Linked DNA regions of Arabidopsis thaliana. The protein of the gene in region 1 interacts with the protein of each later gene in a pairwise test. Each region holds a gene or a part of one and is shown on either strand. Other genes may lie near its edges. The genes, in order: AT5G04840 and RIP1.

The links.
Region 2: the proteins of AT5G04840 (region 1) and RIP1 interact in a two-hybrid assay, tested with the Arabidopsis thaliana proteins (one large-scale study listed by BioGRID).

Annotation. Positions count from the first base shown.
Region 1 is NC_003076.8:1,403,299-1,408,462, forward strand, and holds AT5G04840 (bZIP protein), read left to right. Parts: upstream 1-1,882; 5' UTR 1,883-2,203; intron 2,204-2,693; 5' UTR 2,694-2,706; coding exon 2,707-3,242; intron 3,243-3,647; coding exon 3,648-3,723; intron 3,724-3,943; coding exon 3,944-4,070; coding exon of another isoform or gene 4,071-4,078; exon of another isoform or gene 4,079-4,165; coding exon 4,166-4,350; 3' UTR 4,351-4,664; downstream 4,665-5,164. Other genes in the region: AT5G04830 (Nuclear transport factor 2 (NTF2) family protein), read right to left, coding at 279-373; VPS60.2 (SNF7 family protein), read right to left, coding at 4,948-5,001.
Region 2 is NC_003074.8:5,047,931-5,052,961, reverse strand, and holds RIP1 (cobalt ion binding protein), read right to left. Parts: upstream 2,768-5,031; 5' UTR 2,642-2,767; coding exon 2,253-2,641; intron 2,082-2,252; coding exon 1,984-2,081; intron 1,900-1,983; coding exon 1,834-1,899; intron 1,476-1,833; coding exon 841-1,475; 3' UTR 507-840; downstream 1-506. Other genes in the region: AT3G15010 (RNA-binding (RRM/RBD/RNP motifs) family protein), read right to left, coding at 1-118; DJ1A (Class I glutamine amidotransferase-like superfamily protein), read right to left, coding at 3,341-3,538, 3,628-3,768, 3,884-4,084, 4,251-4,331, 4,423-4,608, 4,703-4,852. UniProt on the Arabidopsis thaliana protein: Involved in organellar RNA editing. Required for the processing of numerous RNA editing sites in mitochondria and plastids. Binds to the plastid RARE1 factor, a pentatricopeptide repeat-containing protein involved in RNA editing.

The DNA.
Region 1 (5,164 bases):
CACACAATTGACACCAATTTCGTCAATCACTGCGGATGGATTCACCATGATCTACGGTTAGGCAAATAACCAAAACCAAATCGAAAGAAACCAAAATGAACAAAACATATTCCAAAAAACTGAACCAGATTGAATCTAAACCTATTTGTCCTAGATAAAGCAGTATCTAAACCGGACCTAAATCGGACAGAACAAACCAAGTGGATAATCAATAAGGCCACAGTACTAAATTTCACGAAGAACCTCAATTTTTAGAAAAATCAAACAAGAAGGCTCACAAGTTGAGAAGATGAGGCATGATTTTATCAGCAAATCGCTTGTTCGATTTCAATTCGCAAGCTCCTTTGCCTTCGCATTCCCGCGCTGGATCCATCGCTGTTTCATTTTCACATCACCAGAAAATCGAAGAAGAAGATGAAGAGCCTCTCTCATCCACAAACCAACAATAATCAGATCGTACAAGGAAACGAACCTGAATTCGGATTCTGGTGTTGCTTCTCCACGGATGTTGTAAAGATTTTCCTGAGAAAATATCGAAAGAGACGATTGAGAGATGAACAACAATAGAAACTAAAATTGAAGCGAGGGAAGGAGTGATCTTTGTTAATAGAGATGAAACTGGATCGTGGTGGATTAGCTTCCACGTGACACAATCTTCTCCATACGTAACCGTTGATTATTCCAACGGAGAAAATGTGCCTTTATTTTTCCTAGTCCCTTTTAATTATTAGTATGAGTGAAAAATATTACAAAGTTGAAAATGTGATTCGTGCTATTTAATTTATGTATCACAAAAATTTAAAGCAAAGATGAGGAATAATTAGATTTCAGATCTTCAAACAAAATATACGGTAGGTGACTATTCTTTTTCCGAACCATTTTAGTTACCTTCATTTTGAAGCTTAAAATTTTTGTTTGACTTTGACATGTATTTTTGTCTTAACATTCCAATGCTAATCATTAGTACCATTACTCTGTTAATATATACTCCCTCTTTTGTTTATTAATCTAAATTCTTGAATGGAAAAAATGTTGCAAAAGATATAATTTTGAAGTCTTCTATGTATTTTTAAGTAGTTATTAATGATGAATTGTAGATTTCAAAAATAAATAACTACAAAATTATTGGTTTAAAGTTGTAAAAAATTATTAATCACAAAAGGAATAAATTTATAATCTATTTTTAATAGGTGTAACAAAACTTAAAATTTGGAATAATAACGAACAGAAAGAATAATGTTTTTTTCATTATTTCATGCTATAATAATAATTTAATACTACAAATGAGAATACAAAAAATCTCAACTTTGCGTAAACGACACAAAGTACTAATAAATATTATAACACTAAACGTTTGGAGAAGCAGAACAGCTGTTTTTCTCTATTTATTATTATTTGGTTCTCTGATAACAGCTGTTTTATTGGTCAACTCTATTTGGTTAAACTTAAATCTTTGACCCGAAACAAAAAAAAAAAAAGGCCAAAACGAGGCCCTTGATTGAATTAAAAATCTCTTGGTTAACAACTATTTAAAGATACATCGCCACTTTGGTAATCAATACGCAAAACGTTACTAACAAATATGTGTTAAGCGAAGTTAGTTAGATCATTACTTTTTAACTATTCAACATTTTGATGACCCCAAATATATAAATTCCACCACTTCTTCTCCACCATCACAAATCACATTTTAAAAAGACACTTAAAAGACTCACTTCTTTACAATAAATTCTTCCCGAACGTTCTAGACTAATAAATGTAAATGCCACAATCAGATCAAATATCTTAATCAATGTGACAACACAAATATAAACAATTTTTTTTAAAAATTTTATAACAAAAAAGTACGGATGGAGATGGGTCAGTGAACCCTTTGCTTGACCAAATAATAAAAAAAAAAAAAACTCAAAGGGCCCAAAAGAGCCGTCCGTACGCCTCCTCCTCCAGCCAATTGGGGCTTTCAAATACACAATTCAATTCTGCGTTATACATTTATACGCAGCTGTGAGAAAGAGAGAGAGATAAAGCAAGCAACAGAATAAATTCTTCTCCTTTTCTTTTTTGTTGCAACTAGTGAAAGAGAAAGAGACGATCGCTTATTTTCTTCTTCTCCTACACTCTGCGTTTTTGCTCTCTTTTTACTCCGCATTGCTCCTCCGTTACTATCTTCGCCGGCGAAAATTTGTTTTCTTTTTCCCTGGAGGTAAACAAGCAACTGACGATTGACAAGTTGAATGCTTTGGTCTGTTTGATGTTTATGTATCTCATTATTCGAGTCAAAAGCACTGTAGATTTCAGGGTTCTCTTCTCTTTAATGTCTCTGCTGAAATTTCCAGTTTTTTCATTGCCGTTTCTTAAAATCTTGTAATGGGTTTTAGGGTAACTGTTCCATTGATTCAATGTTGTTCTTCTTCTTGTGATTTTTGTTTTTCTTTCACTCTTTTGTCTTGTGGGGTTAGTACAAGAATGGTTGTCGGAATTTCACAAATTTGTTTTACTAAAAAAATACTTTTTTCTTTCTTTCTGGGATTGAGGTTTGTGTTTGCTAGCTGAGAATAAAAATCAATCTTTAAGAGCTGTAGAATTGAATATCTGGAAGCTTTCATTGCGTAGAAGCTATAGCTTCTTAAGGTTGATGATAAGTGAAGTTTACTTTTAGCTAAGAAAGCTTTTTTGGATTGTTGATTTATTAGGTAAATTCGAATCATGTCAAGGCCTGCTCCGCTTCCACCTCGTTGCCCGATTCCAAAGAAACTTTCTTTGAGTCCAGTTGCAGATACATTCTACTCTTCTTCCTCACCCATTGAATCATACATTGGTCAATACAAGTCTTCTACTCAAGATTCCAGGCTCGAAGATCAACCTGCTTGGCTTGATGAGTTGCTCTGTGACAAAACTGATGGGTTGCTCACTAGAGGAGGTCCTCTGCGCCGCTCAGCTAGCGACTCAGTTGTGCTTTTGGGAGACATTTCTGCTACTTTTTCTGGTTTTGATCAAAGTGAGGATGAAGAAAGTTTGAGTTCTGAAGCTTGTGGGGACTTGGAGTCTGCTTGTGTATATGGTCCCAACTCGCCAAGAGCAAAGAACAACTCTAGCTTCTCTAACAACCCTATTGCTTCTGCCTTTTCGGATTATGGTTCTCAGACACCGCCTCAGAACTTGGATGATACGGTGAAAGGGATCAACCGTTCACCTGTTGCTGAAAATGCGTGTGGTTCAATGGGCATACCAAATGCAAAAAGGTGAGAGAACATTAATCTTCTTAAGACATTATTATTTAACATCATTACTTTATTTGTGTAGAAATTGATAAGCTTTGGTCCCTTAAGAGTAGTATTCTTTATCGGCTAATGTTGCTAATATTAATTCGGCTGCATCAAGTCTAGTCCATAAGCTCCTATGTGGTACCTCTGTGTCTATTCTAGATCAAGATACATCGGTTTCTGGTTTGTCAGTGAGAAGGAAGAAAAGAATAGTTCCATATCTCTGTTTTACACTTGGATTTGTAGTTGGTGGGGATTCTTATGACTACTAAATTGGCAGAAATATGTGTCTGTGTCCACAAGAGTGCTCTTAGAATGCCAATTCGGTACTTTTACATTATCTTGTTGTGTCATATGTTGATTTTTCTATCTTTACTCTGCCAGGAACCCGGGACAGCGTTCAAGGGTTCGTAAGCTCCAGTACATTGCTGAACTTGAGAGAACAGTAGGCATGTTGCAGGTAGAGATTCCATTCAAGCTGTGCGCTTTCTTAAAACACAATCGTTATTTTTTCTGTGGACAGTTATATGTACAAAATGCAATGTTGTATGTTAGATCTCTGTGGTAAGATGATCTAGTTGTTGGTGTTACTACATAGTTAGATGCAGAGCAGTAAAACATTATACAGAAACCTAGCACATTGTTTTTGGTAGTAACCAAATAGCAATCTCGTTTTGCAGACGGTGGAAGCAGATTTATCAGTGAGAGTGGCTTCACTTCTTCAGACACGAGCAACACTGTCCCTGGAGAATAGCCAGTTGAAGCAGCAGATGGCGATACTAAAGCAGGACAAGCTCATAAGGGAAGGTAAATAAAAACATGACATAAACCACACATTCAAGGAGTCTGAATTACAGCTTGTGATCGATCCACTGATGCTTGTTCCGAAATATTTTCTGTAGGTGAGTATCAGTTACTGAAGAAGGAAGCTCAGAGATTGAAATCTGGATTGGGATACTTAGGGAGCACTAACAACAGTAACAGGCTGGTGAGGTCATATTCTGCTGGTTCAAATGTAGCTCCAAGGACAGCTTCGTCCCACTTGGACTGGAATTTGCTAGATCTGACCAAACTCAATCTCAACTAAAGACAAAACCCTCCATAAGAATAAGTAGCTTAAGGAATTCAAGAGTTAACAGTTCTATGTTCGGAAAATGAACAAATCTTTGTCGATTTGTATAAATATGATTTAGGAGTATAAAGTATCCCACTGTCTTGGGATGTAGTCTTTTTTAGCTAAAATGCTCTGATATTGGAGACATTTTAAGGGTTCCTATTTTGTAGCTCATTGAGTAATTGTGGTGGCTTTGACTGAGAGTATTCTTCTATTTCTGGTGTTCTAAAAAGCTATTAATTTGATGAACGTTGGGATCTAATATCACTAAAATGTATGCATTTGAGTATTACTATAACAAATAATTTGGGCTTCATGTTTCATGTTCAACTTCTCAAGAAACTCAAAAACTTCACTTCTCAGCAACATATCTTACACATCATTTAGAATGCGATGCTGTAGACTCCCGATTAGATTTCCTTATAAAATAATATAATACAGACCAAATCTGAGGATTCAAGGTTAATGAAACTGCTAAGCAAAAAACTTATTACATACAGTAACAAGACTTTAAAAGCATAGTCGCTGGAGATGAATATTTATGCACACAAAGAGGTGTGTAAATGGGATTTAGCCCCGAAGTGATGCACGTGGTACCGCTGGTAATCCCCATTCATCTTCAGCCTGTTCATCATTACACCATCATAAAAATCTCTCAGCAGACATATAAAATAAGTTCCAAGTCCAGAGTGTGTAATATTCGGTAGTTATTGAGTAAGAAAAATATGCAAAAAGCCATCATCACTCATTTAGTAATCAAGCAATTTGTGTGAATAAAGACTAGACC
Region 2 (5,031 bases), on another chromosome or scaffold:
GCTCGATAATCTTCCTCGCGTCTTGCGGCGACAATCGAGTTGGACCAATGGTTCCGCCACCGTTGGTATTGAGTCCGTTACCGTTCTCATCGAGCTTACGCTTCTTCATCATATCCATGGTTACAGATTTATCTCTGGAGTTATTCTTTCACCGGTAAATCCCTAATCCTTCTAGTCCAGCCGTAGAGAAAGCGAATCTGACACGAAAAAAAAGAGGGGAAAATATGTGACGGCGGAAAAACATATGAGGGAAGCGAGGGCTTTATACGGTTACGAGATTTTCCATTTTGGGCTGAAATTTAGAATGATGGGCCGGGATAAAGAACACAAAGCCCATCTTGTTACTTCACACCCGCTTCTCTCTCTCATCATCAAATTGTGTGTTCTGTCAAGTTTGTCGAAAGAAATATGATATTGATGACATTTGTCATTCTTCCTGTTATAATATGAGTATCCCATTCCCATGTAAACATGATTGGGGAATTAGAAATTAAGACTAGGAAGAAGCCAAAGAAAGACACAAAACAATAGCCTGTGGGAGACATGTTACTAAATCCCGTTTAATGCAGAACCAGGAGTGGACATAAGAGTAGCAAGCATCACAAGGAAGAACTTGAGATCGATTTAGGATATAAACTACTAAAAAGAAACGCAAGAGTGAAAAGTTCTAACCATGCCACAGTAACTTAGGCTATTCTCTCTCACATAATCCCAGACTGATAAACACTCGAGATAAAAGGAGTTTTAAAGTCTTGCTACTGCACTCTCTCTTCCTCAAATTATCTATACACAGCCCAGAATGCATGATTAAAAAGGAAACCCACGACTGCTTCAACTGCTTTAACCCTGGTAGGGGTTGCCACTGCCATCCCGGTTAGGTGGGTAGTTGTTCTGGTACTGTGGCTGCTGCATTCCACTACCCTGCTGCTGGTAGTTGTTGTTCTGTGGGGGTGCTCCTCCGTATTGAGGTGGTGGTACTGCTCCATATTGAGGTGGTGGTCCTCCTCCATAGTTTGGTGGTGGTGCTCCTCCCATGTTGTTTGCTGGTGGTGCTCCTCCATAGTTGGGAGGTGGTGTTCCTCCATAGTTCTGAGGTGGCCTCGGTCCTCCCATGTTGTTTTGCGGTGGTGCTCCATAAGGTGGTGGATGCCTTGGTCCTCCCATGTTGTTTGGTGGTGGTGGTCCATAGTTCTGCCCCATGTGAGGTGGAGGAGGTGCAGAGCCACCCATATGAGGCGGAGGAGGTGCAGAGCCACCGATGTGCGGAGGAGGAGGAGGGCCTCCCATGGGAGGACGTTGAGGAGGAGGGCCTCCTGCCATGTTCTCTCTTCTCCTCTCAAAGTTTCTGCTTCTATCATTGTTGCGAGGACGGTCATTGCGTCTGTTCCTTTCATTTGCTCTAGCATTGTTCCTTATCCACTCCTCGTGGTACTTAGGATCATAAGGAACAGCCTTCCCATCGATGAAAGGTTCCCCTGAAAGTCAATATATACAAAAACGCATCAAACTAACTCTCTAATAGGATCACCAGAAAGATTTAAACTCTCACCAAAGCAACATCACTGCGACTTCTACAACACCAGTCTCACAATAGATATCACTAAATCAAATCTAACAGATGCACCCACAATGTTAATTAACTATAAATAGAAGTCGCCCCATGTGTCAATCTAACACAAAAGCATGGAGCAAGTAACGAGTCCACAGAGCGAAGACTAGCAACAGGTAGTTTCCCTTGAAAATTTCAAACCCAGCAAAAGTATAATGGACGAGCAAAGCAACTACCCCAATTTCAAACCCAGGTTATGATACAGATAATACACTTAAGCCTACCTCCATAGTCTTTGTTCCTCACATCCAGGTAAGAGTCAGGAAGAACCCAGCGCACATTTGACAACTCTGGAGAGTTACAGAAGAAAGTTAGAAGGCAGATTATAACACAGAAATGAGGAAAACTAAAACCCAACAAAGGCAAGAGTTAACCTTTTAACTTGTGAGAAAGATCTTCTGACACAAGTGCCCCAAAAGCATAGTAGCACCTAGTTGAAACCGAGTAGATCTTCATCCTAGCTTCGTCTTCACTGAAATGTCCAAAACGAGATATATCATGTTACAGCTCCAAAAATGATCTAAGTAAACACACAGATCCGTCATACACAGTAGTGGATTTCTCACTTATTTAACCTAAAATCCCTAGAAGAACATACACAGAGAGAGAGAGAGAGAGAGAGAGTTTTGAATTGGGGATTTACCTGCCAACAATCTGAGCTAGGGTTTTGATGTAGCTATCAATGATTTCATCTCTAGTAGGCTCACCCTGAGGTGGCTCCACGACGACAAGCCAGTGCTCGAAATCGCAACCATCGAGCAGGATCGTCTCCTTAGGTGGCCTGTTCGACCAGTTGGGATTCGGGTCGTTCAGAGAAGACGATGTAGCCTGCGTCGAGAGACCTTTGACAGACACAAGGCCGCCACGGAAAACGGAGGAAAAAGCGGCGACCAGAGGACGGGACCGGCTGAGCAGAGAAGACGCCGGAGATTTGGCGAGAGGAGCAGATGAAGCAAAGGATCGCGTGAACAGAAACGAAAGAGATTTCGCCGGTCGGCAAAGAATGGATCGAGAAATGGTATGCGTCGCCATGGAAGCTCTAGATTGGGCTTCGCAGATAAAACCCTAGGAGAGAGTGTGAAAACAGATGAGCTAGAAATGAAATCAAGGGTTTTATGAGGGTTTAATAGTAGATTATGAGTCGAGGGCATTTTAGGTATTTCATAACTGAACTGGACAGCGAAATCTACGGTACTACCCCCTGATCTTATCAGATTCAACAAAATTGCCCCTATTTTACCTTAAGTTACAAATAAACACATTTTCGCCAAGAAATTAGTGACATTACTCTGTTTTCAAATGATAAAAAAGCTATTTTTATACAAGAAGAGAAGACTGAAGATTTTATTTTCACTAAATTGGTAATAATCATATTATTAAATGGTTTACAAATATGAAATATTCCAAAGCTAAACATAGGGGCAAATTCGTATTTTAGAGTTATTGTAAGGTCAATTTGGTGAAAATGTGTGACTAAAATATCTTTCTCCATAAAATAATTTTTTTCTCCAGCACACCCTCTAGCTCTTGCAGAGGTTTAAAGAAAATATCGGCAACATACATAGAAAAATCTCGTTTATTCATTTATAAAGGCATAAAGTTACACACCAATCACTAAGCCAAGCTCATATGTCATATATCATAAAGTAAGTAATTACTAATGGAGAGAGATAACTAAAAGGCAAAGCCTTCTTTTTATTCAAGCCACTCTCATACTTTCATTGTTTGAAATCACACAAGTGTTGCCTTTCCGAGCTGAAGAGCTTTCTCTCGCCCGTAAAACTTTTCGACAATGGCAAGTGAAAACTCCATTGCAGTCCCTGGAGCTCTGCTTGTTATGACATTTCCATCTACCACGACTCTGTGCTCAATGTGACTCTTGTCCGAAAGTTTGTCGCTCACCACTGGGTGAGTAGTAGCCTTCTTACCCTATACAAAACATGTCTCTTATATCTCAGTTTAATGACTTAAAAGATAGAACAAGAAACTACAATTCTAGTACTGTTTGATTTATGCACCTTGAGTAAACCATTAGGCTCGAAGACGTAAGCAGGCGATGCGCAGATTCCTCCATATGGTTTGTTTGCTTCTGCCTGTTTCCTTAACATATTAACTAGCTTCTCGCAGCTTGCGAATCTTTGAGCACCGTTAAGACCGCCCTGTAGTTCATCAAAGAAGTTGGATTATGTTTTTGGTTATTTGTCATCATAGAATATTAAAATTTAATTTAAGACTAAATAGTATATTCACATTTTGGAAGTTAGCAATACTCACAGGTAACACAATCAGATCAAACGACTTCTCTGCAACCTCATCAAGAAGAACTTCTGCTACTAGCTTAGCTTTGCGAGATCCTTCAACTTCCAAACTGTTACCAACTGCAGCAATCACTACATTTGCTTTTGCCCGCCTCAGGATATCTACAAGCGCTATAGCTTCAATTTCCTCTGACTCCTCTGCAATGGGTACGAGAATCTGAAAAGGGAAAACATTATCTCTCTGACTCATAAAAGACTATTGATCAAGAAAGACAAAAGCTTTACAACACAGCATGTTCCTAGGAATCTGTATAACGGATCAAACAAAGCCTGTCTTGGAAAAATGTTAAAAGGGCCAAGTGGAGAGGCAACTGAACATTTACCTGTGGTGTATCTTCAAATGACCAGTTTGTTTGGTTAAGCTCAGTAAAAGTAAACTCCTCACCAGGGTTAGGACGAAGCAGCTGATTTCAAAAGGATAACAAGTAAGTCTACGAGGAGGTGACATGAACACGTACCACAGCGGTTGATAAAAGAGGCAGAGACAAAACATACCAAGATACTGGAGACTTCATCAGCTTTTTCTTTCCCAAACAACTGCTCTATAAGCGTGATGGAGAATTCAATGGTGGTTCCTGGTCCACGACTGGTCACTATTCTTCCATCAATTTGCACTCTTGACTCAACAGCAGTTGCACAAGTAGCCGCAAGTTTCTCCATAAAAACAGGGTAACCCGTTGCCTGCAAGAAACCCCATGTAATAACAAGACATTACAAGGCCTGAAAAAAAGATAAATAAACGCCCTTGGAAATATACTGATCACTTCTGACTTACTTTCTTGCCTTCTAGTAGACCCCAAGTACCAAGAGCCAAGGCAGGAGCACAACATATAGCTGCGTTAAGTCGGCCATCAGAGTCTTGTTTCTTGACCATGTTCTCTAAAGATTTACAGTTTTTAAGAGTCTCGCCACCGGGAAGCCCTCCCTTTTCCCAATCATATCAAAAAGTATATCAGCAACACAATTATGAAATCTTTCAGAAAACAAGAATCTATGAAGTTGTTTCAGAGAACAAAAGTTGCAACAGATACATCTAAAAACCATCGTTCTTAGTAGGAACTATAAACATCACTTTCGAAACTTTAGTTAAGTGAGCTAATTGAT